Linked DNA regions of Drosophila melanogaster. The protein of the gene in region 3 interacts with the protein of the main gene of each other region in a pairwise test. Each region holds a gene or a part of one and is shown on either strand. Other genes may lie near its edges.

Region 1 (8,019 bases), on a different chromosome or scaffold from region 3:
AGGTTAGTGGTTATTGATCTGCGTTTCATAAAACCGTGTTGACACGGTGATATGATTGATCTACAAAGGTGCTTCAAATGAGGAGTGATAACATTTTCAAAAAGTTTTGGGATAGCCGACAATTTAGAGATTCCTCAGTAATTGCTTGCATCCAGTTTGCTACCTTTTTTATGCAGAGGAATCATAAAGGACTCCTTCCATATATGAGGGAACTGTGAAGATTCCGGAGATAAGGTAAACAGTTTCAGTAGAGGTTTGCACAAGGCTTCCGCACAGAATCTGAGCACACAGGCAGGGATTCCATCAGGACCTGGCGAATAGACCGGTTTAACACGCTGAAGATCGTTAAGCAGTGAGCTTTCGTTTATAATGGGGCAAAATATTAGATTCGACTTAGATACCGCATAAGAGTATGGCTGTTCGGAATGAGGTAAAGTTGAATATGTTGTTTGAAAAAACTTGGCGAATAGGGCTATTGCCTGATCCGATGTAACCGTAGTGTTTTCTAAAAATAACGAGGAAGGGTAAGAACTTGTTTTTCGCTTAGTGCTAACGAAATTATAAAACTGTTTCGGATCCTGTGCAAACTGGAACTTACAACGGTTTAAATAATTATTGTAGCACTGATCATTAAGCCCGGTAAAGCTTAACCTAGCGCTTAAATATTTACAGAGGGTGGACTGAGAACCGGTATTTTTAAATTTTATATAGAGTCTGGACTTTACAATTCTTAGGTGTGTCAACTCTTTATTAAACCAAGGAGGTTTAAGGAGTTTAAGTCGTGCGTATTGGGTTGGCACGACAAAAGGTCATAACTTTACACTTGGAGCCATTTAAGTCTAACACGTGTGTTGTTGCCCTCGATGATTTTCTTCTATTCCTCAACTTCACTGAATTATTTCATCCTCACTTCGTTTCCACGAAACTCTACCAAAACAACAACTGGCGCCATGCTCATTTGAATACATACACAAAGGATTTTTACTCAATAACGGAACGATTTCCATGAATTTCATTACTCTTAACTCATTCTTAACATAACGGTTCAAAAACATAATTTCGGTTACATTCAAATACTGCGTTAGATCTACTCAATCTCCGACATACATATGTATATTAAGCCGATATAAAACACATGCGGTTTGAACACAGAATAAAAGCGGGAAAGATATATATCTTAATGTAAACACATAATTAATTTCTAATTTCTTTTACATCACAAGCAGCTAAACAGATATACATATATTTCATTTAAGTTCTATTACCACCAAATTATTTTTAAATAAGAGAGAACGCTTAAGCAAATTTGTTGGACATTGAGATACCGTTTACACAGCCAGAAGGAATGCAAAATATAAACAATGAAAACAAAAAGTTTTGGGTGTTGAATTGGTCGTGGCGAAATAGTTCAAGCATATCAATACAAATTATCAAGAAAAACAACTTAATTTTTTAAGATAAAGAACTTTTCAAAAGTATACGAACAGAAGGATTGGTAGCCGAAGACAAGAATATAAGCACGTTATAATGCCCGAAACGCTTCCTTCCGTTCCTTCTGACATAATTTTTTCCAAAACCATACACATAATCGTTCGAAATCACTACCATAAAACTTGTCTTTTCATTCCTCAAAAATAGCTAATAAATAAGCTTACTATCTCAAGACATTCCCTTAAATGCTGTTGTCATAAAAAACATTTGACCACGTTGGTTGCCTTGCCAACACTAATAAATTTTTGAATTTGGGCGCCGAGAGTATTTAAATCTTTTGGAAGCTGAAATTTTCCAACACCAAACAGGACTCGCAGAACTTTGTTCATCCAGGATCTTAAGCTCAAAACCAAAACGTATGCGAATTAAAATTGCTGCTATTTAATTATTTAAAAGAATAGTTTTTATTTTTTATTAATTAATATTTATTCGGCGACAGACTTCCTCACTTATACTATTACAAGACACTTTATTACTAGCTTATCTTTGATTTGAAGCTGTTCACGATCTCGTCCCGACTCAGACTGATCTTCTAAATCTTAATCCTAATCCACTCAACCTCGGCCAGAAGCTTTTCTTTAGGATTCTCTTAAGCTTTTTAATATGTTTAGGATAAAAGCTTTACACTGAAATTATTTCCCAGCATTGTGAAATTCAAATTTGCTGACTGACGCAGTTTGACTGAAGCGCAATAAGTTGACCATGGCTTGGTCTCCAAGTGGAAGTTGTGTTTACTTTAAGTTTGGTTATATATCGGGTGGCTAAGTGTTGGCGTCAAAAACAAGGGCAAAGGCAACGCTGCTGAGATTGGAGTTAGAAATTTGTTTAGCTTTTGGTAGAGTGCTATATTTATGGGTTGGATAACTTGCGTCACTACGTGGGGCATAAAAAATCTGTTGTCCCTTAACTCACTCCCCTACATCGAGTGATAAAGATAAATAGGAATTCCTAAAAGATTTAAGTATACAAAAATAAGTACGTTTTATATGGAATCTTTAAGAATTAGTTAAAAGTCGAGTGCCTGTAAAATTTCGTTATCTTATGGAATTTGTTATCAACCATGGCCCATGATCTTACCAAAGACACTAGAATATTCTAGTGTCTTTGCTCTTACAGTGTTACCTTAGCTTGTAGAATATTAAAAGTTAAGTCTCAATAAATTTAAAACGTGTTTTTAACGCAGCTCAGCACAAGATATTTCTTTTCGAAAGCTAGTAACAGCCAGATTCTACTGATCGTAGCGTTTGCCTTTTGAGTAAGAGACAACATGTAAGACAACATGTGATGTAATCCAAATTACGAAGTACAAAACGTATATAAAAATATTTATGTTTTCTGAGTTATCGAATTAGTGTAAAAGGGCTCTAAGAAATCCTACCAGTTCTTTGTGAATTTTGGTATATTTTCGAGGGAAATGATTATTTTCATGAGTCGTGAAACGGTCACACTTTTAAAAAGTAAAACTGCTGCTCGTCTGCTCTATCTCTGAGCGTTGTTCTGTCTCCATCTCTCTTTAGCAATCGTAAAAAATGATGGACTGAAAGTTAAAGTGCTGGAATTTGTTAGAAAAAGATAACACTATTTAAATATATATCTTGTATTATTCCAAACAATATATCGTTAAAATACGTTATCAATTCACGAATACAATTTTACACCACTCAAATCTTAACAATTTTATTGTGGAGCAGGCAGTGCGCAATTTATGGTGTGGTCCGGTTGCGTAAAAGGTAATTTTAATAATGAAAAAAATAACACATGTAGTGTAATATTGTATGATAAAAAAACAAATGTGCTAGACTCCAGTTTAGATACTAGAGTCTGTTAATGTAAAGAGCTGCTGCATTAAACGTTCGTCTGTGTATGTTTTGTGTCGCGTATGTACATATTTTTTGTCTCACCGTCGCCATTTTTAATCAGTCGTTTTCGCTGGGTTCCTATGGCACTATATTCATCTCTTTTTCTCTTTTATAGAATTAGCGTCGCGTGATGCAGTGTTGAAAAGCGCGACAGAGCTGCAGTAAATAAAAGGCCAACGTATGATAAAAGTTAATTTTTGAGCATACTCGAATTTTGGGGACCATGGAAGACCTTACCAAAAACATTATCTTCACAAATGCCATTAATGGGCAACCGGCCACAATTCAATACCAGACGGCGGATGGCACCATTCTTAAACAGCCCAAAATAGAGGGCCAAAAAACGGAGCAGCAGCCTACCTTCTATTACACGACAAATGTAAGTAGTTTACTTACTATATGTTATTGGTGCTGACTTTTCATATTGTCTTCACATAGGGCAATGGCGGTACCGTCAATCTCGCACAGCTGGCCACCACAGACGACAATAAGACGTGTTATATAGCCCAGCCCGTGGGCGGATACAATTACGCCCTGGTCAACGGAATGCCTCTCAATCAGGGTGCAGCTCTTGGCATCGCCACGGTAGACGCACAAGGCCGCATCCAGATTGTCAATCAAAATAAGCCAATTGCAGCTGTATGTAAAAGGAAGACTCGTTAAGCAAAGCCTAAAGATTTTCTTCTTTGCAGAACACCATATCCAACATAAGCTTTAAGTGTGACGTATGTTCAGATATGTTCCCTCATTTGGCACTTCTTAATGCTCATAAGCGGATGCATACAGACGGGGAACAGCAGCAACAACAGCAACATAACGCCCAAGCGGGCGGCGATTCTATTGCCGTGGTCAGCGCGCAGGGGCTTGTGCAGGCACAGAACATTATTGGAAATGGTCAGATGGGCCAGATACAGATTGTGTCTTCTGACACGCTGGAGCCGGTTCAGCAATCTGTAATGCAGCAGCAGCAACATGAGTCAAAGGCAAGCAAGTGCATAAATTGTGGAAGCTCTATGCTGCAGCAGTCCAAACGCAAAGGTCCAAAGCAGGTGCGCTGCGAGTCCTGCATGCAGGCTGAACAAACAGCGCAACAACAACAGCAGCTCTTCGTCGCCCAAGACGGTAGTTGTGAAAGATTACATTCTAAATGGACCATAACTAACTTCATCGCATCTTTTGCAGGTCAAATGGCGCATCCCGTGCAAATCATATCAACGACTCCTCAGGCCCAAGCACAACTTCAGCAAATTGTGGCTGCACAGACTGGCGGTACAACGCCAAAGCGAGAGGCGAGCAGTGGGTCTGGCCATCATCCTGTGAAAAAACGAAATTCCCAGCAGATGACCAAATGCCAGAAATGCAATGGCTCCGGCGTGGTGCTAGTGGGGCAGCACTCCCATGCTTCACACAGCGGGGTGGGCGGATCGGTAAAGCAATCAGTTACTGTTAAAACTGAGTGAGTATAACATGAAATTGCAACCTTATCCTACGCTAACAAAACCAAGGTGTTTGTCCTGCAGAAATCCGTCCAAACCCTTCAGTTGTAATATATGTGGTGGTCTGTTTTCACGTTACTCAAGTCTGTGGTCCCATAAAAAGCTGCACAGCGGTGAAAAAAACTACAAGTGCAGCATCTGTGGATTGGCCTTTGCTAAAGCCGTATATTTGAAAAACCACGCGCGCATTCATACAGGCGAGAAACCCTATAAGTAATACCAATCTTCTACTTGAAATTATACTCTTTATACTAATTACCGTTATCTTTACATAGATGCCAAACCTGCGGCATGCAGTTTTCACAGTCACCACACCTCAAGAACCATGAACGCACGCACAGTGGCGAGCGGCCCTATGTGTGCGGTGTTTGCGACAAAGGATTTGCGCGCCACGCTACTCTTTGGAATCATAGGCGCATTCACACGGGCGAAAAGCCATACAAGTGTGAAATTTGTGGATCGGCCTTTTCTCAGGCGGCGCACCTTAAGAACCACGCAAAGGTGCACTCCGGAGAAAAACCCTACAAGTGCGAGATTTGCTCTGCAGCATTCGCTGATCGTTTTGCACTCAAGCGTCACCGCGGCATACACCAAAAGTACGGCCAAACTGCTCCTCGCCAGACCAGCAGCGATGGGATGATAGTGCATAAGCAGGAGATTCCTGACATGGAGGATGAGGCCCAACAGGAAGTGATTATCGGTGGGTTATAGATAGTTTAAATGCAGAGGTGACAGGCAGCTTAATGAAGTCACAGACACTGGAGTCCACCCTGCTTAGCTTCAGTTTATCGAGCGTTACTATGATCATCTGCCTCCACCTATGCTAGCCCCAGAACCATCTCTAAGGGCGCATATATCACCACAATGATATTAAAGAATAGAAAACGATGTTCCATCGTTAACACTTCAGCTGCATATGTCCTTTCTCCACTTTCATGTGGGATCTTCAAAAATGGGCGAAACCCAAAAACGCTTTTTACGATAAGCATACAAATGAACCTAATTTATTTGATAGCTTGTATAATATACTTAAACATCTTTAAACATTAAACGCATATATGTATAGGCATCGTATTTATAAGTGTTATAGGCTATTCTCTTATACAAATTGTAGGTGTAAAATATGGATTTATTAGGTGACGATACGAGCAAATCCGATACGTATGAATATGCACAGGTAATAAACACACACATATAAGTTGAAAGTTGTAAGCTTAAATATATTTTAATTAAATCTATCTAATATAAGTATGTATTAAATAATGCATAAAATCAAATAAATATTTGAATAAAATACAATTTTTTACTAACCTACTCCATTTGCAAGTGCCTTAACGAAGAATAGAGGGATCCCAGAAATAGGCACATTTTCCACCGTTTTCGACGTCTTATGCGTTTTTTTTTTATTAATGTAAGCACCATTTCACTTTAAATATAATTTTTTTAGTGTTTTGCCACGTTCATCTTATTCTTACGTGAAGCTATAAGGTCAGTAAATTTTAATGTTGGCAATAATATAATTAATAAATACACAAAACTTTAAATATTCATAGACGTAAAAGAGTAAAATAAAGTTAAAATTTATCGAAAATTAGATGATGTGAATTACTGCTGTCTTTTCAAAAAAATTAGAGCTGTTGATTTGTAAAATGGACGCACTCTTTTAAACTTCTTATATTTATATTTTTGCGTATTATCTGTTAAAAATAAAATATTTTTACATATTTAAAGTAAAGTTGTGAAGTGGCAACGAATTTTTTACAATAATCAAAACCAAGTGTTTAAGAATTAGGATTCATGGCTTGTATAATAAAGCTTTAAATTACTAGAATTCGCCATCAGTTAAATCAAGATAAATACGTATACGTATACATTTGCGAACATGGACTTTGCTTAGGGTCCATTTTTGAATTTGCGGTCATTACAAACTTATATTCATATGTATATAGGATTATTCAAGAATGAATACATTTTAGTTACACGGGATTGTAGTTTTGTTTCTTTTAATGTCAACTGGTTTGCATGCACTATGCAATCATGATTATATAGGAAGATCTGTGTCTGTGGTTGGTCCACTTTTTATTTAATATTTCTGCTACAGCTTAAAAACTAAATCGTTACAAAGTTACGGAAAGGATGCGTACCACAATCCATATTTATCCGGCCAATTAAATTTGACCATGGTCTTTGCCGCTTGGTAGAGTCCTTTTATTCGTGCCAATTATTTTTCCAATTTGATATCAAATTATTTTAAAGCTGTGGATAAACAATATAAGCAACATCTAAAATAGATGTTATATATATGTTCAAAATATAACAAAGCATTTCAAACTCATTTTTAAGCTAAATTGAAAGTCACACAAAACAATATATATACTTTTCACTGTTAAATTTCCGTATTTTCTTTTTTAAATTTTTTTTCTTGAAAACATAAATATTTTAGATTAACTCGTTCCTCAAGCTTAAATTTTATGGTGCAGGCACGCCATTAAACAAGTAAGTAATTATACGATTTTATAGTAACATTTTCATTTAAATGACTATGCTATTGGCTTATATTTGTCATTTTGGTGAACCGATCTTGGCTATTTAGTATTTAGTTTTTAGTTAAACAACAATTTCATTTTTCGACTGCCTACCATGCCAACCGTCCTTTGCAAGTGTGTTACAGCTTCCCACTCCACTCACCCACTAAATTCAGAAGAATTAAAAGTCCTGGCCTAAGCCCTATCCTGCTGTTATGCAATATTGGACAATAATCAAGTTAACCAAACCATTCGAGTGCTACTTAATGTATTGCAGTATGTAACCGAAATCTCCTGTCCAGAATGGCGGTTTTTATGCGATTAAAAACAATAACAAAAAAGCAATTTCAACAGTTACCTACATAAATGATGACTTCTCGGCATAAATAATTTGGGCTTCATAACATAAATACTTTTATTACAAATAATTTAGGTAATTTTCTTAAGCCTGTCTGTCGACTTAATGCTTTGGGTAACACTTTTTTTTGTCAAACTCGCATAAGCGTGCTTTCGTGAAAACCCATTCATTAGCAAAATGGTTGCCAAATAAAAATGAAAAACCGGTTAAAAAGGCAGACATACTATTGCGTCTATTCGTTCAAGGTTGTAGGATAGTTTGTTGCTATTTTAAAGTAACCTTTTACATAT
Region 2 (8,216 bases), on a different chromosome or scaffold from region 3:
CCGGAAGCGTCTGTTCAGTTTGTTTCGTTTTCACGATGTTATAAACCCACCTGCGCTTGACTTGGACATTTTGCGTATTTCTGGTGCTGGCAAGCACAGATTCTTACACGATTCAGCTACTATTTATTTATTTTATTCCCATAAATTCCGTTTTTTGCACTCGAAACTATTTATATATTTTAGAGTTACCACAAATCCTGAACGATTATCGGTATTCGGTTATCGGATATCGATTAGACCATGTGTTAGTGTTGTTAAATTCCAAAATGTTGTAGTAGGGGTAATCAAAGCAAACACTGTTCAAATTTAAATTTAAAGAATCTTATTAAAATCCTTATTAAATTTCTATATATCGTGATTTAATGTAGTACACTTTGGCAATATATGCTTAATTATTTATTTACTCTTACATACGTACGGTGTACATATTAAAAGAAGTTAGTATAAAAAGGATTTTTTCATGGACTGTCGGTATTTTTAGTACTTCCACACTGTTGTTAAAATTGTAAACAAATCCCGCCGCACGTGTGATATTTAGTTAAAATCAAAATAATTGTATTTCTAAAGTTTCAAAATATGTCTGGTAAATACGATCTGCTCAGTGAGCAGGGCCTCCGTCTGGACGGACGACGTCCTCATGAATTGCGCCGCATCAAGTGCAAACTGGGAGTCTTCGAGCAGCCCGATGGAAGTGCCTACATGGAGCAGGGAAACACCAAGGTTCTGGCTGCCGTCTATGGACCCCACCAGGCCAAGGGCAATCAGACAGAGTCCGTCATCAACTGTCAGTACAGTCAGGCAACCTTCTCCACGGCGGAGCGCAAAAATAGGCCGCGCGGCGATCGCAAATCTCTGGAGTTCAAGTTGTACCTGCAGCAGGCGCTAAGTGCTGCCATTAAATCAGAACTATATCCCCGCTCCCAGATAGACATATACGTGGAGGTGCTCCAAGACGACGGCGCCAACTATGCGGTGGCTCTTAATGCCGCCACACTGGCGCTAATTGATGCGGGAATCTGCCTCAATGAGTTCATTGTCGCCTGCACCGCCTCACTGAGCAAATCGAACATCCCGCTCACAGACATCTCTCAGTTCGAGGAGGTATCCGGCGGACCGAAACTAACCGTGGCTGCCTTGCCTACCGCCGAGAAAATCGCCTTTCTTGAGATGAGTGAGCGGTTCCACATCGATCACTTGGAAACCGTCATCGAGACTGCTATGGCGGGTTGCCGCGAAATAAGGGACATTCTGGAGGCAGCAGTCAAGGAGCACCTTCTGCACATGGGCAGTGCCTCTGACTTTGCGAAAGTTGGTTGAAATAAAGTAATCTTTTCTATTCCAATCTTGTCGTTTTTTACAATTGAAGGGCAACAATTATAATAAAAAGGAACCAACATTTACAAATTAAATAGTGTCTTTAACATTGTATTCAGATGGCTGCCCTTGCTCTCTTTTAATATAATTTCTGTTGCAAAAGCACAATTATCCTCTAAAACACAGGCGTATAAATGTAGTAACAAACGAAAGTAGCTCTAGTTTTTCTCAATAGCTTCTTTTGGTGGCTCCCACCTATCCAAGAGCTCCTTTAGTCGTTCCCTTCGATGTTCCAGTTGCAACTTCTCTATTAGTCCACTCAGTTGGTCGCCGCCCTTGAGGAAACCATTGAGGTTGTGCAGCGTACCGCCTTGAATTCGATGATCCGTTATGCGGTCCTGGACGAAATTGTAGGTACGGATCTTCTCATTGCGATTGAGACTACCCTGTTGCGCCTTCTTGGTGGCCATTTTGCTAGCCTCAACGCTCTCCAACTGCTGTTGCACAAGTCGCGACCGTAGACGCTTCATCGCTAGCTCCCGGTTTTTGAGCTGGGAGCGTTCCGATTGCGCCTCCACCGCCAGACCCGTGGGCAGATGAACAATTCTTACAGCCGAGTCGGTGGTGTTAACATGCTGTCCACCAGCTCCACTCGCTCGCTTCGTCTCGATCTTCAGATCCTTCTCAGCGATGTGCACTTGGATGTCGGCGGGTCGGGGAATCACTGTAATTGAGGCGGTGCTGGTGTGCATGCGTCCAGACTTTTCAGTGGCCGGCACCCGCTGTACGCGGTGAACTCCAGCCTCATAGCGCAGCCAGCGGAAGGCATCCTCGCCGCTCACCATCAGACTAGCGTGCCGCAGACCCCCGATGTCGGTGCCCTCGCTGGCAAACTCCTCCCACTCCCAGCCCATGTGCTCGAAATAGCCGGTGTACATTTCGTACAATTCTTGGGCGAATAGCATTGCCTCCTGGCCACCGGCGCCGGCATTCAGGCCGAAGATCAGAGCCGGATACTCCTCATCGTCAGAGAGCGTAAGCAGCTCCTGCAGTAAGGCCTGATCCTGCTTGCCCAGTAGATCCACATAGACTTCGTTCTCCTCGCGCATTAGCTCACGCATATCCTCGTCCTTCTCCGCTTCCATGTCCTTGGCGCTGGTGATGTGCCGTTCTAGTACGCGTCGCTGCTCCAGGGCACTGACCACGCCCTCCAGCTGGGCGAGACGGGCGTAGGATTTGCTGTTTCCGGCGGCGTTGACTCGCACGGCGTAGTATTCCTGGCGTAGAGACTCCAAATAAGCCTGCAGCTTCTCGTTCTGAATGCTCAGCGGATCCGTGCTGGCCCAACGGCGTGCCAGGTAACCCAGTCGAAGGTTTAGTAGTTTGCGCGATATCATTTTGTCAGCTTTTCATTGAAAATTCATTGAAAATAAAATACAAATAATTAAATAACAACAAGAGGTGGACCAAAGATGATAGCAGCGATTACTATCAATAAGTTCTGGATAAAAACTGAACTTATCGATATTCAGGCATAGTGCAACTTCTATCAACATCGATAGTCGCCCAAAAACATCGACTCCAGTTCCAGCTACATACTAAAGTGCATTGAAAAGTCAAAGAAATATGCCAGTTTGTAAATATTAAAAACACTATTTCATCTTAATGGGGAAATAGCTGTCTTAGTAGCGGACTTCGGTTGTTTTAATTTGTGATATGCTAACCTTTTGCCTGCAGTCGTTTGTATTGCGTGTGTGGGTGTGTGTGCTCGCCTTTTGATTGGAGAAAAATAAACGGACTGCGACAACAACAACAGCAGCAGCAGCAACAACAAAGGGTGAAGTGAGCGCAGAGTGCAGCAATTAAGTTTAATTAAGCCAAACAATTGAATGCGAAGAGTCTGAGCTGTGCTGTCGCCCCCGAAAAGTGCATTTATTAAGGCGATATCGGATTCAAGATCGCCGAAAAGTAAAAACCCAACAGTTGACGAAATGCCACCGTTGAAAACATACCAGATACACGAATACAATGGCAATACCAGTCCGAATGCGAATGCCAATCAGAACGCCAATCAGAATCCCACCGGCGGCGGCGGCGACGGTGACTTCTTTGGCCAAAATCTGGGATCTGGAGCCACAGCGGCCAGCCATCGCACAAACCTGCCCTCCTACTGCAACGCCCAATATCCGTTCAAGGTGCTTTCCAATCTCAACCAACTGCGCGAGCAGTCCCGTTTCTGCGACGTGGAGATCATCGCCGGAATGGCAACATTGAGTGCCCACCGGGCTGTCCTGAGTGCAGCCAGTGCCTACTTCGAGGCCATGTTTCGACCCGAGCTCGGGTTAAATGAGGTCAAGCAAAAATCCGTTGTGCTGCACACAATCGACGGCGATATCCTGCACATCCTGCTTGACTTCATCTATACGGGTCGCTGCGAAATCACCCAGGTGAGTCCATACACCTAGTCGCTTGGTCTCCAAATTCTAATCCCTTCTTTGATCTTACAGTCCAATGTCCAGGAGCTCCTGGCCGCCGCCGACATGCTGCAGCTAAACGAGGTGGTCGACGGGTGCTGCGAGTTCCTCTGCCGCGAGCTGCACGCCTCCAATGCCCTGGGCATTTTACGCTTCGCCGAGGCCCACAACTGCGAGTCGTTGGCCAAGAGTGCACTGAACTTTGTCCACGCGAATTTCCCAGCGGTGAGTTGGATGCACTTGAAAGGCTTGATTTGTAGGTGTACCGCCCAAACGAAAAGTGGGTCATGGAAATAGTCAAGCAATGTTCTATATTTATTGGAAACGAAAATATTCAACGAGATAAACGATAAAAAATATCAAAATAATAATATTTAAAGTTATTTTCATTTCTGCCTTGAACCTAATAATTTATCGTTTAAATTTGAGCATTTGGCAAAAATATATATTTCTATTTTAACTGATTGGTACTTTCCTTTCTTCGTTCAGGTAACGCTTGAAGATGAGTTCCTAGAAACGCCACAAACTCTACTCTCGCAGCTACTGAACTCGGAGCTGCTGCGTGTAGACTCCGAGTCGCAGGTGTTCCAGGCGGCGCTTCGTTGGATTAAGCACGACGTGACGCAGCGCCGCTGCTACGTCTTCGATGTCCTGTCCCACGTGCGCATGGCGCTTGTTCCGGTAAAGGTGATCGACAAGGCTCTGAAGGACGACTGTCGCGACATGTCCGTGAAGATAGCCCTGCGCTCCATTTGCCGGGACATTGCGTCCAAGCGCGGACAATTGGTGCCGCTGCGGGTATGTCCGCGTCAGCTGGCCAAGAAGAACATATATATCATTGGTGGATCTCATCGGGATACGCCGCGAACCTGGAACTCGGCCGACTGCATCTTCGAGACGGTGGCCAAATTCGATATATTCCGGCGCGAGTGGACGGAAACGGCGCCTATGGAGGTGGGACGCATCCTGCCAGGTGTATCAGCATTGAATGGCAAGATCTATGTGGTAGGAGGAGAGCGCGGTTCACAGATTCTGGCCAATGGCGAGGTCTATGATCCACAGAACGATGTTTGGCAACCGATTGCCCCGATGATTGTGCCGCGCTGCGAGTTCGGTCTTTGCACCATGGGCGGAAATCTGTTTGCCGTAGGCGGTTGGATAGGCGACGACATCGGCGGCTCCATGGAGTGCTATGATCCGGAGCAGGATCTCTGGAAATTAATGGGCAGCATGCCGCAGCCTAGATTCAGCATGGGTGTGGTCAGTTTCGAGGGTCTCATTTACATTGTCGGTGGCTGCACAACAACAACCCGTCATCTGCCGGATTTAATCAGGTATTTAACAAAAAATATTTATATTCGTAGTTATATATTTTTATAAAAATCCATTGCAGCTTCAATCCAGTGACAAAAGAGTGGAACGAGCTGGCCCGCATGCAAACAGCTCGCTGTCAAATGGGTGTGGCCGTTCTGGATCGCTACTTGTATGTGGTTGGAGGCAGTAGCATCAGTCAGGACATTCTCAGCTCCGTGGAACGCTACAGCTTCGACGAGGATAAGTGGACTACAGTGTGTGCATTAAACGTGCCCAGAGCCATTCCTGCCGTGGTCGCCGCCGATGGCTTGCTCTACGTAGCTGGCGGTGATCAGGTAACAAGTATATTTCAATTTATTTGATTCATAATTTAATCATTGTTTTTGTATGCTTCTCTGCCAGCCCTGCGAGGTAAACTTCTACCGAGCCCAAGTGACTATCAATGCTGTCGAATGTTATGATCCGCTTTCGGACACCTGGAAGAATTGTCCCGATCTACCAGTTAGCCGTTCGGAGGCAGGAGCAGTGGTTGTTTAGGACCTCGGACTGGTTCGGAAGGGTCAAACACAAAATCTGTCGTCGTTTTAAGAAAACCACACACGAAAAACACTCTCTAACTGTAGCTCTTTGACATTGTATACGTTACACACATCACAAGTCTCTTCCCTTTTTTCGATTCAATTGAACGTAGTGGTCACTCGCCAAAGATATGTAAGCGCGTTGTTATGGGTATGGTTGATGTTGTATGTGGGAGCATAGCGCAGCTATTCACCAGTTAGTACACATGCTAATAGTTAGCCACGATGGAAGCAGCCAGCCTCAGATTGTTCCGTAGTTCGAGTTGTCCTTTATAAAAGCGAAACCAAACACCGAAAAATATAAGAAACCAAAGCATTCACTTTGAAAACGACAAATTTAACGTATCGTAATTGCTGAACATTATTTGAATCAATTATTTGTTTGTTTTCAAATGTATTCTCTAATTTTATTGTTGAATTCTGACCAGAGTGTTAGGAACAATGTTTGAGGCGCCCTTGAAAAGAGCGAAATCTCCACTGAACTTTGTATTAGTATAGTCATTAGGGACGTTTCCTTATCTGTATGTTAATTCGACTAATTCCATTCCGACAGTATTCTACTTCTAATGCTCGAATATTTATACGAATGCAATCTTTTAAAACGTATGTATGTATCAGTGATTATTTTTTTAGAATGTCTGTTATAATTAATTCTGGTTTTTATCCAAATCTAAAGTATCGTAACAAGTTTTTCATTACTTTTAATAAATAGCATACTGATAAGAAAAAGTCCCTAACTGTACCAAAGCAAATTAATACAAACAATCAAAGATGCGAACTGTATTCATAATAGGTGTATTATCGAAATAAATATACGAATTATAAACTACTAATAAAAATGTCTTCTTTCATCGTGGGACCACGACCACCTTTAACATCCTAACCTTTTTATCATCTTACAAAAAGAAAAGATGTTATTTTCGAGAAATACAGAAATGCCGGAAATACGCAAGCCAAACACAATTGTTTAACTGTTTGGGGTAAAGATTTTTTAAATCTTGAAATCTAAGTTTTTAACTTGTTTATGATAAAACTCAGTCTAGTTTTAGCACAAGTCATTTCAAATTGGTTTTATATTTATTATTAAGTTGGGCCGAAATCCCGGCGGTACTGCAATACCGGGCCAACCCGCGACAGAGGTGGAGCAAGCTCCTAGCACTCCGTCTGATTCCAAAAATCAGTTTAACATTTGTTGTCCTCCAATGGAGGAACTATCAGATGTTAAGCTGATAAGAACAGATACTACACTTTGATCTTAGCCATAAGGCCGAGAAGCGATAACTTGAAACGGAAAACGAACAGGCTCTCCATGACCAAACGGCCAGAAGCAGTTGGGAATTCTAAGTGTGCGCACACGAAAAATGACTCAACGTAGCTGTTGCTCAGTAAGAATTGCCTACTTTTAGGGGTAGTTGATGTTTTTGTCTGCGAAGCAAATATAAACAAATCTTTTTATTTTGTAACGGACAATCTTAAAAACATTTCGCCCAAATATAAAAGTTGCTTTAAGACTTATACATAAATCTTAAACATATGTGTACATATAACCATTCGAACTGACAAGAGGTACGTATTATTGACAAACATATGTTGTTTGACAAATATAAATATTTTATGCGGCATAAAAGCAATATAATATGGAAACGTGTCAAATTTGTTTAAATTATTTATCTTATTTTTTTCAGTAGCTGTCTATAAGTTAATGTAAAAATGGTTATGTTGGATATATCAGATGTGTAACAATGAATAAAGCAAATACATATAATTTAATGCGAATAATTCAAAAGCAGTAACATTTAATTTAAATATAATATTCGGTAAAACAACAAAATACTAATGTTAATTTACATAAAAGAAAAAGGAAAGCAGAAAATCTACTTGACATGCGCCGAAATACTGTTAACACTCTGGTAAGTGGGGCAGTACCAAAATAGAAAAACAGTTGATGAATATACGCCGAGGTCTCTGGAAGAACATTTTCGAAACGAGCTTAAGGCGTGGCGCGATAGTAAATTTATATTGTTTTTCTAAATCTGGTAAGCCAACAAAGTGCAGCATTTTCCCACGGCCAGTGTCAGACAGCCGTACACGCAATTTTTCAATGTTTAATGCCATACTGTTAAAGAGAAAACGGGAAAAGTGGCCTTGAAGTGGCAGTTCCCTTGGGGCAGGTAATGGGAACTTCTTGTCAGCCTACATACATATATCATCGAAGAGAAAGGCAGTTTCAAATATTTATTTACATTTAAATGAGAATAAACTAATGAAATACCTTTTCTTTTTACTTTACAGCATGGCTTTCAGGATTATAATGCTAGGCGAACAACGATTTAATGACGGACACTGGACATGAGCGAAAATTAAGCAAAAACAATCAAATGTGCATCAAACAATAACCCAGACTAACTGGGATGTGCTAGACCTTCCGTTCCTTAGAAAAATCTCAATGGCCATCAAGCTTAGCTTCGATCCATGTAGTATTTCCTTAAAGCACCTGTCGCTATTCCTATTTAAGATATACTGCTTGGCACTCATA
Region 3 (6,847 bases):
CTTTTTTTCCAAATCTTAGGATGATACCTCATCTGAATTCCAAGAAGTTTCTTCCCGCGTATCAAACATGAATTGCTTTCCGTGCTGCTTCACATCTCTGTTTAAAACCGAGCTCACCCTGCAAACTATACGTTAACTAAAGGGAGTTACAAAATAAAACCCAGAGTACCTGCAGCTGTATTTTACTTTTGTCAAAATATTCATAATTCAATAAAAATAAGAAATAAACAAATCGGAGACCGCGAGGTTAAAGGCATTAGAGATGGGCAACAATCAGAAATCCATAGAATTTTTTTTTGTACGGATTTTTAACACCCGATTTAAGAAATTGCTTTAAAAAATATATTTTCCCTAACTTTCTAAAATATGCATGATTCTTATTAGATTTTTGAAATAAATACGTCAGATAAAGATATATCGATATTATAGATGCTATACCAAGTATTGATTTTGCAGCCCTCGTCGAAAAAGCAAAACAGCTGGCAGTTTAAACATTTTCATTTTTTTTGTTGACTTATCTTAGAAGTTGAGATGATAAAAGCCATTCTCGTTTTTAACAATCACGGGAAGCCGCGGCTATCGAAGTTCTATCAGTATTTCGTAAGTACTGCGACATATAATCCATATAATCTAGTTCATAATAAATTGTCACTATCATTTGTAGGATGAAAGCCTGCAGCAACAAATAATCAAAGAGACTTTCCAATTGGTGTCCAAGCGGGACGATAATGTTTGCAACTTTCTGGAGGGCGGAAGGTGAGCAATATTGTTCCCGCAAATTCCTGGAATATCTTAAAGCACCTCTTTCCTCCAACAGTTTGATTGGCGGATCGGATTACAAACTCATCTACAGACACTATGCCACGCTGTACTTCGTTTTCTGCGTGGACTCCTCGGAGAGCGAACTGGGAATCCTGGACCTGATTCAGGTGTTCGTGGAAACCCTCGACAAGTGCTTCGAAAACGTGTGTGAGCTGGACCTGATATTCCACGCCGATGCCGTCCACCACATCCTCTCAGGTTGGGAAAGCTACTTTGGCAATCCATTCAGATTCAGCTATCATGAATTCGTTTCAGAACTGGTAATGGGCGGAATGGTCCTGCAGACAAATATGAACGACATAATGGCCAGGATCGAGGAGCAGAACAAGATCGTCAAGCAGGAAGCGGGCATCTCGGCTGCACCTGCCCGAGCTGTGAGCGCCGTGAAGAGTATGAACATTCCGCAACAGATTAAAGACATCAAGCTACCTGATCTGCCGCAGGCCATTAAGGACTTTAAGTTCTGACAAATGTGCGTCTGATATAACTCTCTCGTCTAATTGTAATCTGTTGAATCTAGTGCTTTTTCGCAGTCCTTCATGAATTTCCAACAGCTGTCGACTGTTCCGTAATATTAGGTCCCACGTACTCTATATAACTCCCCTACCATAATAAAAATGCAAATGAATTACCAGTAGCGAGAACGAGCCTTACGATTTTGATAGCTTAACAATGCGAAGTTCAACCACTTCCGTTCTATATCGAATGGGGTTTAAAATGTACATACAAAGTGTCTTGCGATGACGTATTCGCATGATCTGTGTGCTGCATATATTAAAGATTTATACCTAAAACGGTGTCCGCTGTATTAAACATGTTCATAATTCTACAATCAACTGTTTGTAAGATCATCTTCTTCGCCGACTTCCAGCATAACTTGCATTATTTTCCGCTTCAGCCTCTTGCGCGAAACTTCAGAGTTCAGGTTACGGAATTCACTGGCGATTAGTTCGCCAAATGCGTCCCATTGATCACGACCACTTAATGGTAAGTGGAAGGGAGAGGGAGCAGCTGGAGCTTCGACAGTTCGATTTGGATCAACGAATTTGGAAGACGGCGCAGGTTCAGGAGGCATCGGAGGAATGGGTTCGCTGACCTTCGGAGGCTGACAGATTTCTGCATCGTTCTCTATGATCATGGATTCCAGACTTTCTATCGAGGATTGGCTCTGCTTTTCCACATCCTGATCCGGGTAGCACATGTCCAGCTTCGATACCAATTTCTACCAAAAACCAGGATAGATTGGTTAACTTATGGGCTAAAGATTTCGATTTAAGGAGCCCACCTTGCCCGGAGCACCTTGTTGATAGCCTGGTCGTGGTTCTATAACAGATCGTAGGAACATCAACGTCTTGAAGTGCTCCCATCGACAAGCCTTCTCCGAATCTCGATCTCCTCCAGACTCCTCGAGCCTCCTCTCCAACTTCTTGAGCTCTGCATTGAATTGATTGCGCAGGTTGTGCACCTTCTTGCCATAGTCGTGTTTCGTTATTTCAAGCGAAGCGCAGATGGATTCGATGGCTTTAGCCCTGCAATCCTTGTTTTTATATAGCTCGGAATAGTGGTTCCACAAGCAGTCCGACGAGCGGTAAAGTTCGATTAGCTTGGCGATCTTCTCCCGCGTCCAGATCGTCTGCTTCCTCCTCTGTCTTTTGGTCAGTTGCGTTTCGCCCAGCTCCTCGGATTTATTTGGCATCTCAGCAAACTAACAACAATATGTCAATATGCATCGAATCTTATTGCAGTGCACATTTGGGATGGGCGAGTCTGAACTATCGAAAGTAAACAGCAACGCAGTATTTTTTTTTAGTACTTTTTGAAAAAAAAAAGAAACGATGAATAGTTTTATGATCTATCAAACAAAATGTAATTCCATTGCGCTTTATATTGATTTCTTAATGTTAACTACACATTTAGTTTTAGATATTTAACTGTGCTAAACTAATAGCAATCAATAAATACAACATTGAAATCCGATATCTCCGTACACGCATTCAGTCGCATCTCTTGGTCCTATCGACTAGTCGATAATTCTCATCGCAATTAAATGGATATACTTCAGTATATAAATAAAATAAAGTAAAATAAGCAAATCCGCTGGAATATGCAAGCGCGCTAGCCGAAAACAATTGGAAAATGTGTGCGGGACGCCAGGACCGACTATAGACCGTTTTCCGAGCTGGCTATGGTGACAAGGGACCACAGAACTGATAAATCCTAGGCCGACGCCCACTGAACACAGTTTCCTGTACAGGAGTGTAGTTTTGGATAAACGCAATTTTGGTAATTAGGGAGCGGTAGGCGCGCAGCTGGCAGTAAAGTACCTCCACTCTCGATTCCAGACATACCGGATAGGGCGCTAGCGAGCCCCAAACGTAAGCACAATGTCACAAGTAATACCAAACACGCCCACACCCCAAATGCTGACGACATCAACGCCCATAGAACCCATGAAACCACCACCAGCGTTTCCCACGATGAGCGGCGCAAACATACACGAGCAGGCGTCCGATATGATACTGCGGGCCTCGACGATTTTCGAGGACGTCAAGCACGACGAGGCGAATGTGGAGAATGTGCCCCATCACGGAGTTGAGACTGAGCCTGAGGACGACTCGCACTACGGCGGGAACGGCAACTCTAAGATCCGCATAATGCCCAGTGTGAAGCTAATGGCCACGACGCTCGCCTCCGATCCCAAGCGCAAGTTCGTCTGCCCGTATGACAACTGTACAAAGAGCTACGGCAAGAGCTCCCACCTGCGGTCCCACCTCACCTGGCACACGGGCATCAAGCCCTTCGTCTGCAGCGAGCCCAAGTGCGGCAAGGGATTCACGCGCTCCGATGAGCTCAACCGGCACCTCCGGACGCACACCGGCGAGAAGCCCTTCGAGTGCATCCAGTGCACCAAGAAGTTTTCCCGCAGCGACCACCTCACCAAGCACCTAGCTACCCACGACCGCCAGCTAAAGGGCAGCACCCCGAAGCGAACAGTACCGAGCAGCAGTGGTGGAGTCCGGCTCAAGCCCCCGAAGAAGCAGATTCATTCGGAGTCGGACTCGGGCTTCCACTTCATGGCCGCCATGGTTGGTTGCGGGGAGCCGAGCATGAAGCACCACCACCAGCAGCAGCAGCATAACCAGCACCAGCAGCCCGTGAGCATTATCGACATCCACCACAAGCCGATAAAGATTAAGCTGGAACGGCCGGAGCACAGCGACAAGTACCAGATCGTATCTCCTGAACACCAGATGGATAACCATGGCCACAACCAGAGCCAGTTGCCCGATTTCCTTAACCAGGCGAAGCCCGAGGTAAAATACGAACCGACCGAAGAAATTGTAAATACCCTCTCTCAGCTACCGCCGGCGGACGGACCCGGCACGTATGGGATGCCCCAGTTCGTTCAGGATCGGCCTTTCTACTGCCGGCAGTGTGAGAAGCGGTTCAAGCGGCAGGACGACCTCAACCGACACATACGAACGCACACCGGGGAGAAGCCCTACGCCTGTCAGCAGTGCTGTCGCCGGTTTGTGCGGAGCGACCACTTGAAAAAGCATCAGCAGACGCATTTGAAGATACGATAGTTTCATAGTTACTCCTTACTCCTTAAGTCGCTAGCCATTGGCATCCGCATCCAATCGATATTGGCTACCACACGGGCGTGTGTCGGGTGACGCACACAGTACAATAAAATTAAATAAATTCGCAATCTAACTATATTCCTATGCAAGATCAGCGCCGGCTCTCAAATCTCAATTTGTATGTATGTATGTAAATAAGTCGTATGCAATTTAATTTTAGCTCTAACTGTTTGTGTTTGCCGGAACGTGAAGACATACATCTGTATTTCTGAAACTCTTGCTGTTTCTTATTTTCTGGCTACTAAGCTCCCCGTATCTATTAATATAATTTATTTTAGTAAAACTGTTATTTATATTTATGGGCTAATTGATGGGGAACTGATAGTTCATCAGGATCAGGACTCGATCCAGTTTGAAATTTGGAATATGATTAATAATGGCCTATAAGAATGAATAATAGATATATGTATAATTTCTGATAAATCAAAGATTCATCGACTATCGGTTCGGTTGATAGAATCGACTTATCGATAACAGCATTATCATCACCATTGGCGTTTGATTCAGAGTTTCAAGCAATGTTTTGCACTGTTTAAAATAATTACACACAAGCGATGTGCGACTTTGACGCTTTGTGGGCGGATGTACTGAGAATCTTTCCGGTTTTGGGTGGAGCGGTAGGTTTATTCCTTCGGTTCAGTAATAGGGATTGGCGCTAGCACTCAGAAACTCTTACAGAACGCTGTATCCAATGATCCGGTTGAGGAGAATGTATTCCAAAATGTTCGCCAGCACCTGATGGTGTTGGGCAGCATAGACACCTTCGCGGCGGTTGTGGACCTGGAAATCCAGTCGACTATTCGGAATGTCCTGGTGCCCAAGTTCTGGAAGCACATCCACGACGGCTTGGTCTCGTCTAAATTGCAGGGCTGGATTAACGACCAAGCTCTGGCCATAGAAGCACTGCCCGATAAGAACGGACTGTTCACCCAGTTCATCGACGCCATCAATGAGCTGCATGACAGCTTTCAGAGCCTGATGCAGGTGAAGCCCAGGCTGATCCAGCTAGTTGGAGCTGAGACAAAGCCCACCGCAAAGACGGTGAAGCTCATGCAGGAGGAAGGCATTAAGAACTGCTTAAGGGACTGCTTGCTGGCTCAACTGCCACCCAATTTCAGTGTGGTCGTTGGGGCCTTCTACTGGGTGCACTTTAAGCTCTTCACCAAGGCCTCAAATCTCGCATTGACCACAGTTGGTATGTATCCGATACATACTCCTGTGGTTCCCATGCTCACTTGCTTTCCCCTTCAGACTCTGATGTTTTCGATGAGCTCCTCTGCGTTGGCTGCAACTTCGAAGCAGAGCAATGCTGCTGCCAAAGGCTGACGGATATGGTTAACAAGACAAACATGAAGCTCTTCGAGATGAACCTCATTGACCGTCTAACTGGGAGTGCTTTAACCGCTCTCATCAAGCTTAAAATCAAGGAGCACATCAGCGATACATGCATGGGAATCTTCGACAGAAGTCATCTTAAGCAACTGGAAACTGTAAGTTGAATGGGAATACCTTCTGTTGTCATAAATAAACTACTTAAGTAACTCATTTATTACCTACCTTTGCAGTGGCTATCGGATGTCATAATGTCCTGGCTCACAAACATATTCACGGAATGGAAGTCTAAGGATAGCATAAGCGATATCGAAGTTCCCGAGTCTGTAAAATCCTTCAAAGTCAAACTGACTTACTTTATGTACGAAACGTTTGCCCAAAGCGTTATTGGTCAGTTCTTCAGCATTATAATTGGTATGTGCCCGTAGATTCAGCCAAGAGTCCCCCAACTACATGTATTTATTTGTAAACAGACTATCCCGATTCCATTCCGGCTATAGATGACTTAAAGATTTGCATGGAGAAAATAGATATGCGAGTCTACCTCACTGAATCCCTTAGGAACTCGCTAGAGGCAAGGATTCTGCATCCTGGAGTCAACACCATGGACATATTAACGGGTTACGTGGCAGCCATCAAAGCTATTCGCCATCTGGATAGTACCGGAGTCATCTTAGAGATGGTAACTGCTCCAATCAAAGATTACCTGCGGAAACGAAACGACACAGTGCGACGCGTAGTCACTGGGTTGACTGAAGAGGGGCCCACGGACTTATCCGAGGAACTCGCCAAGGGAGAAACAATTAAGGAATGCAAGGACTCGGGTACCGATGAGTTCAGCAACTGGGAAAATTGGCAACCCGATCCGTTTGGTATAGATGCCAGCATTATGCAGTACAACAGCTCGCGGAAGATGAGATCGGCCGACATTATATCGATGGTTGTAGACATATACGGCAGTAAGGAGTTGTTTATGACAGAGTATCGCAATCTAATGGCGGACAGACTGCTGGCCCAGTTAGATTTTAATTCCGAAAAAGAAATTCGAA
Region 4 (6,688 bases), about 16 Mb from region 3:
TACAGAGGGTCGATGCAGAAGTTTGGTCAGATGTACTGTTACTAACCTCAAACAATCGAATCGCTTGATGGGGCATAACGGCTAATAGGATAATGGCGTCCGCTTCGGTCCAGGGTATCAGGGGCGTATGGGTCCTAAACAAGATTTCCTTTTATGCGGATTACACAGCTAACATTTCCCCCAACAAACTTAGTTAATAGCACTGAATTGATTTACGCACATATATTATGCTAACTTAATTCGTGCCCCATGGCTTTTTTAACTCACTTGTCAAATTCATTCACTCTACGCGGTCCTAGGGTATCCCATAGTCGTCACTCCACTTCAATTCGATTTAATCGTCAGTTCTTATTCGTTTATTATGCGAGTGTTTGATCGATGTAAAAAGCTGGCAAACTCTTTGAAAATCGCTTATCGTCGCTGTGCTTACAGATTGTTTACATTTTCCAAGCGTTTTCGGGCGAATCTTATTTACCCTTGGTTCCACCCTCGTGCACTTTTCCTTCTGCAAGCGAACGAGAAATCGAAAAAATCCATGAACAATTATTCCTATTGTGCGCCTGCTTCTTCTTCCAATTACTTTGGCGGCGTGTTTTAGCTGCAGTCTGCGGTGGCGCCCAGCTTTTTGTTTGGCCCAATCGAACGGCTCCAATTCTGACCCACTTATTGCGGCGGGGACTAGGATTCGAATTCGGCTCAAAATCTTCACTCCAACCTTCACGCACGCATTTAACCATCAAACTGCAAAACTCACGTTCATGCGCTCGCCGCTGCCGTTGCCTCTTCCTCTTCTTCTCTGCCCGGCTCTCTCGTTACGACGCTGCCCTTCTGCTGCTGCTGGTTTTTGTTGTTTTTGTCATTCGCGCCCCTGTTCGTTCAGGGTATCGCGGGCATAGCCGAATTGGAGGTTTAGTTTTTGATCCTCACAATGGCTGGTCACACTGATTCTGCTAACTGTTATATTTCAATTTTTATAAATAGTATAAATGATTATAATAAGTATAAATGATGGTCAATGAATGGCCATGAACATTTTTGTGATTACAAATCAGAGGGGAATCATACTGCTGAAATTAAAAGGAATTTTAAATTAAAATTAAATAGTGTTTCACCTTAAATTTTGGAATTCCAAATGAGTTCCGAAAAGACAAAACAGCATTCAACATTTTAACAACAATGCATGAACCACTAAGAATTTTTATGGATTCTGCGTCTAAATTTCAGACTCTACTCATTAGAAGATGAGCTTTCTGTTTAGCGAAAGTTTTTGAAAGTTAAACTCCATCCAATTGGACCCTATTAAGCAAATCGCAGAACTGTTAAGCCCGCCATTATTCAACGAAAGCTTTGAATCATTTTTAAAACATGGGGAGATGTTTTCAGGCAAAAAACACAACACACCAAAAGGGAATTATCAAGTTGCCTAGGCTCGACCAAGTTTCGCCCATCCGGAGCGCATTGTGATTGGTGAGCGGAGAGAGCGAGCGAGAGCGCGGTACATTAGCATTAACGGCGCATGTGGCGCGAAAATGCGGAGGGAATCACCTTGTGGTTGTTGTTGTTGCCGCGTGCACCACCCTTAAAGAACTTGTTTTGCACTGACAGAAATTTTGAGCCGCCCGTGGCTGGAAAAATGCAATTGCAACAGTGACCGTGGATAATTGGGAACTCGAACTGCGGGCGGGGTGCGCAGGTAAAAGGCGCAGGTGCACCGGAGCGCAGATACAGGTAAAAGTGAGCGGTTATCCTGAGGAAGAAACAAGTAATCATGCTGGCGTGATCGTCTATTTGAAGTGTAAATATGTATTGTAATGCAATATGGTATGTATTGAAGTGTGTTGGTATGAAGGAAAGCAGGCCGGAATACTGATTACATGCTACGTATGTAGGCAGATTCACAGAGTTAGTCAGTCGCGTTCTTATAATACTGTAAGCTAGGCTTATAAAGTAAATCTCCCCACATTCCCCCGGATATACGCGTCCTCAGCCAAACTCCAGTTCCTCGATGAGCACGTTCTGTAATTTCTGGCGCACGCGCAGACGCCGGCGGCTGTCCAATCTTTGCAGGAAGGGCATCAGACTGAGCAGGAACATGCGATCCGCCTCGTCCTGGAGATCTCCACCAGAGGGATCCGTATTCGTGGCCACATCCGTGCTGATATACTTGAATGGCAGATCGGCGGTGGGTGACTGCGAATTGGAGAACACCTTGGCCTCCTGCTCGCTCTTCAGGCTGGATCCGCCGTGGCTAGTGTTATTCGCCTTGGTCTTGGTCACCGCCTGCTCCATTTCGTCGTCGTCATCGAGCACTTCTATGGTGAATACACCGGAACTGGCAGCATCGGCACGATTGCCGCGTTCCTCTTCCAAGTTCTCCGAGGCGGCATCTTCGTCGAAGTCATCGTCATCCTCCTCGTCCTCCTCCCTCTGACTGGGCTCCGACTTAAATCTCTTATTCTCCGGCGGCTGGCAGTCGCGATCCTCGAAGAACGAACTGATGTCCGAGAAGCTGGGCTGGTGTAGCTCCGAGTCATAGCTGTGGCTGAGCTCGCATATGGGCTCCGTAGCAACAATGGGCATTGAGTCATACTTGTCCGGCCCCAGCACATTATTGTTCTCCGTCCAGTGTCCGGGTGGGTGCTTCTTGCTGCTGCTTCGCGTCTGACGCATGATATTCTCGTGAACGGCGGGCTCCATGAACCGCATATCGTTGTAGAAGCGCCACGACGAGGGCGTCTCATTGGACAGGTTATTGCGGATGTACACCTTGCGAAAGTTGTCCCTCAGGTGGCCCCACTTAATTCGGCAGATGTCGGCTGTGAAAGGGGGGAGTCATTTTAGCGGAAAGCGCAGAGGAGAAATAGTCAGCCATACACTCACCTGGCAAATTCACATCCTGACCCACCTCGAACCAAACAGGCGTGATGTCGCTGCGCTTCTGGCCATTGGCATTGTTGCGCAGCCACAACATCGGACGTCGTGAGACGGCGGCAATCAGGCGCTTCACCGTTTCGATGGGCAGCTTGGCGGTGTTGGTGAAGGCGAAGGAGGCGGTGGCAGAGGCGGCGGCAGAAGCAGAGCCGACGGAGGCCGCCGACGATGACGCATTGTAGGCCATCTCCATGTCCAGATCCGAGTGGCCAATTTCCGATAGCCCGATAGCTAGTTAGCCAGATCCAGTTCCGATTCCAACTCCGAGTTTCCCGGCAAGCGACTCGCGCAGCTCAAGCGTTCAGGCAGCACTGAAAATACGAAAAATACGGGCACCACGAAGTGTACGGCCCAGCCAGCAACAACCAGTTTACGTGCCTTTTGGCGGTGCCGAGAGAGAATTGTGGAAAGAGCGGACGGAGCTGGTTGCGACGGCACAGGCAAAGGCGAAGGCGGAGCTGCGGGATCGGGAAGGAGGAGAGAGGCTTGAGCAACAGGCTTTGCCACGAACAGAAGACCCAAGAAGAGGAAGAAGAAGCAGGAGAAGCAGAAGAAGAAGAAGCAGGCGCAGGCGAGGCGGCAGAACAACAACTGAGCTGCCTGGCAATATTATCCGGATGTTAAGCTTCCGCTGCGCTGGCCGCAACTCTGTGTCGTATTTGCGCTTTTTACGGTTGTTAACTTCGCCATTGTGAGCCCACCGTAACGAATCTAATATGCTCTGCACCGAAAACGGCTATTGCAATAGAATTCCACCCGTACAGCGACTTGAGCGGACATGTCACGCGCTTTAGCGGTAAAAGTCTTTACATAGAGCTCTATGGCCCACCCTCCCGTTACGCGAAAGGAGATCCTTTTCCAGGTGACCCAGCCGCAGAGACTGGAAATTCATAGTGTAGCGTATAGAGAGCGGTGTAGTGTACTTTGTTTATTTTTATCAAAACTGGATTTTACTACGGTCGGCTGGCTGGGTCGCTTGGAAATGGAGCTGGAGGGAACGTACAAAATTCACGCCACGCCAGTGGAGCCACCGCCACAGCGCACATACATATGTACATTTCTATATACAGACGAGGGTGTGTGGGAACAAAAGCTCCAGCTGGAACGATCGTGAGCCTGGAACCGAAGACTGTATCCGTTGTCTGTATATGTGTACACACGTACATATTAATGTTTATACGTGTATGCTTGCACGTTTCGGGTTGAGTCTCCTCTTCTTGGGACTGCGAAAATGCAAGTGAAGCAGACATGACAAGTGGCGACCGGGGTTATTTATCAGATCTTCTGTAGCTTTGCGGTTGGGTTTCAGCCTGACATTTGATCCTCGCCGCAATTTATACTCGTCTTTCTACCCACAGTGCGAAAAACACACACACACATTCGTATGCACAATGTACGTGGACAGACATGCGGCCAATAAATGGGAATCCAACACCGTAATTGGCCATTTTCAAGAACGCCTTGCAAAGAAAACTGGGGAAAAGATACAGACATACCTAAGTATCTATGTATACGAGATATGTATGTATATTTATACGGACCGGTTCTTTGTTTCCGATCCGGTTAACTTTTAGGGAATACGGAGTACGATTGATCTTTCGTTAAGATGGTTATTTGAAATCCGTCAGCTTGTCTTTTAAGTAGCGATTAAACTAATGCATATTTGATAAAATTTGGTTAATTTTCGTTTAAATATTGTTTCTTCTATATGTAAACAAAGGCTTTTAAAGGGGAAAATACTAGGCCGAATAAATTAATAATATGATGCATACTTTGTTTTGAACCAAATAAAATAAATCATGCTCATCTAAGATATCTAAGATGTACTTTTATGTAATATTAGTATCTGATTTGTAGCGAATCTTACCTGTGAGTCTACAAAGCTTTCGATGTACATATATATTTATCTTTTCTGATCATACATTACTTTCGTAAATTGAGAATTGAAATTCATTAAATTATTGGAGGTTTTAAAACATTTGGTCAAATATCGACAAAACAATAGAATTGACTTTACAGATATACATATTACATTTATTGACATTCAACGAAACTCAAGGATTGAGCGAAAATATATTGTATATATAAGCGATAAGTACTTGGTTCCGGAATCCACACGCACATGTAACAAATAGACGAATCGCACACTTAACAATAGAGAAATTCTTTACGGGTTATGAGAGATGTCGATTTAAGAATCTGGAATATATATGTTTAGACATATGGTATATACTACACGTACAGTATGCATATTTATAGTGAGTGGTAATGGTAATGAAGCGCCCTGCAAATACATCGCCTGGCCCAACCGAATCGAAAGCGCCTGCGCTCGGTTATGATAATGATGATGGTGATTGTGATAGAGATGTCGTTTACACTGTGGACAGGCTGGGTTCTTCCTCGACGTTGTTGTCCTCGTCCTCCAGGGGCAGAGATGCGGATGAGCATCGCTTTCGGTTCCCCCCGGAAGGATTACCTACCGCCTGACTCCCGGTCATAATAGAATAGCTCTTAGAGGCGGGTTTTCGAGGACTGGCGATGGTATCCTTCTCCAGGGCAGACAAATCCCCATTGCTGTGACCATTGCTGCTATGCGGTGAGCAGCTACCATTACTGTTAGCGGTGCCCGATACGATCCCGGCACCATTTCCATTACCACTTCCGTTGCCACCGCCCGCCTCGTTGATGAAAACATCCATGTGATCGATGGTGTCGTTTAAAGCAAAGCTCTGATCCCGGCGCTCACTCTTCTTCCACAGATAGTAGAAATGGACCAGCTCGCGCATGGTTCTAGTGCGCACCTGAAAGAGCCCAACGAGCCCATAGATTACTTGCTAGGGCGGTCCGCAGGCAATGGACGCTCCTTTACCTGGTTTTGACGTATCTGATAGAAGTCCTTGCCAAACCGCTGAATGCCCTCCTCGAACTTTAGGCACTCGTCCTCGGACCAGCTGCTCATGGTATCAGTGAGAGGCAGGACGTTCATGCGCTTGCGTCGTAGGGCTTCTTTGAAGTCGTAACCGCACTGGACAAGCAGATGGAGCGCCTGCTCATTATCCTTTACCACCAGCTCCTGATCGCCAGCGCCACTTGTCGCAAGCGGAGCCCTCGGAGGCGTGGCTGGAGCTGTAATGGGAGCCGGCGGTTCGATAGTAGCACCTGTAGCTGCGCCTTCCTCGCCCGCCGTAGTCTCTGACCCGTCATCCGGCGGAACTATCGATCGGGTTTCCTGTATCTTGGCCAGATATTCCTCCACCTCGCGCTCGCTGACTTGGCTGGGCTCCCAGATCAACTGATCCTCGTTCTCATATGGCAATATATCGCCATATTGCGACAGCCCCTCTGGGATCTCAGCCTGATAGTCGTGACCCACCATTATTATCTTCCGAGCATCGTCCAACTCGGATTCGCTTTCCTCCTCCTCCTCGGCCTCCACTTCATCGAACAGTGTTTGCAGTGGAGTGACTATAAAAGTGTTACATAATGGAAGTGATAATTAGATTCTGTCACGTTTTATTTTTAAACCTACATCTTTCCGTCTCCTCTCCGCATGTGGGCGCCAGATCGACGAAGGATTCATCTGGATACAGGTCCAGCAAATGTGAGCGATGCTGCTTCTTGATCCCCTCATACTTTTGCGCATCCTCCGTGTCCACGGACGAAGCTTCTCCTGATTCTGGGGGTGATGCTAGCTTATCGGCCTCCTCCTTGGGTTCCTCCTCCTGGTCTATGCCGTCGTGTTTCTCCAGTTGCGATG

What was found.
Region 1: the proteins of CG3065 (region 3) and Clamp interact in a two-hybrid assay, tested with the Drosophila melanogaster proteins (one large-scale study listed by BioGRID).
Region 2: the proteins of CG3065 (region 3) and CG9426 interact in a two-hybrid assay, tested with the Drosophila melanogaster proteins (one large-scale study listed by BioGRID).
Region 4: the proteins of CG3065 (region 3) and Coop interact in a two-hybrid assay, tested with the Drosophila melanogaster proteins (one large-scale study listed by BioGRID).

What each region holds. Positions count from the first base shown.
Region 1 is NT_033779.5:22,164,090-22,172,108, reverse strand, and holds Clamp (Chromatin-linked adaptor for MSL proteins), read left to right. Parts: upstream 1-2,965; 5' UTR 2,966-3,221; intron 3,222-3,465; 5' UTR 3,466-3,573; coding exon 3,574-3,729; intron 3,730-3,788; coding exon 3,789-3,989; intron 3,990-4,042; coding exon 4,043-4,472; intron 4,473-4,532; coding exon 4,533-4,806; intron 4,807-4,855; coding exon 4,856-5,059; intron 5,060-5,121; coding exon 5,122-5,557; 3' UTR 5,558-6,389; downstream 6,390-8,019. UniProt on the Drosophila melanogaster protein: Transcription factor involved in X-chromosome dosage compensation in males, the process by which transcription of the single X chromosome in the male is elevated. Binds to the DNA sequence (GA)n.
Region 2 is NT_033779.5:13,214,582-13,222,797, reverse strand, and holds CG9426 (uncharacterized protein), read left to right. Parts: upstream 1-2,874; 5' UTR 2,875-3,305; coding exon 3,306-3,761; intron 3,762-3,821; coding exon 3,822-4,013; intron 4,014-4,277; coding exon 4,278-5,122; intron 5,123-5,181; coding exon 5,182-5,437; intron 5,438-5,504; coding exon 5,505-5,639; 3' UTR 5,640-6,508; downstream 6,509-8,216. Other genes in the region: CG16812 (uncharacterized protein), read right to left, coding at 51-69; Ski6, read left to right, coding at 577-1,317; mRF1 (mitochondrial translation release factor 1), read right to left, coding at 1,533-2,711; kek4 (kekkon 4), read left to right, coding at 8,127-8,216.
Region 3 is NT_033778.4:23,967,489-23,974,335, forward strand, and holds CG3065 (uncharacterized protein), read left to right. Parts: upstream 1-2,816; 5' UTR 2,817-3,206; coding exon 3,207-4,409; 3' UTR 4,410-4,745; downstream 4,746-6,847. Other genes in the region: CG34213 (uncharacterized protein), read right to left, coding at 28-118, 170-204; or (orange), read left to right, coding at 532-600, 665-756, 818-1,020, 1,078-1,289; CG10904 (uncharacterized protein), read right to left, coding at 1,655-2,044, 2,108-2,518; mr (morula), read left to right, coding at 5,021-5,083, 5,145-5,661, 5,718-5,956, 6,032-6,212, 6,272-6,847.
Region 4 is NT_033778.4:7,489,066-7,495,753, forward strand, and holds Coop (corepressor of pangolin), read right to left. Parts: upstream 3,525-6,688; 5' UTR 3,125-3,524; coding exon 2,881-3,124; intron 2,817-2,880; coding exon 1,984-2,816; 3' UTR 1,771-1,983; downstream 1-1,770. Other genes in the region: CG1620 (uncharacterized protein), read right to left, coding at 5,304-5,732, 5,801-6,396, 6,461-6,688.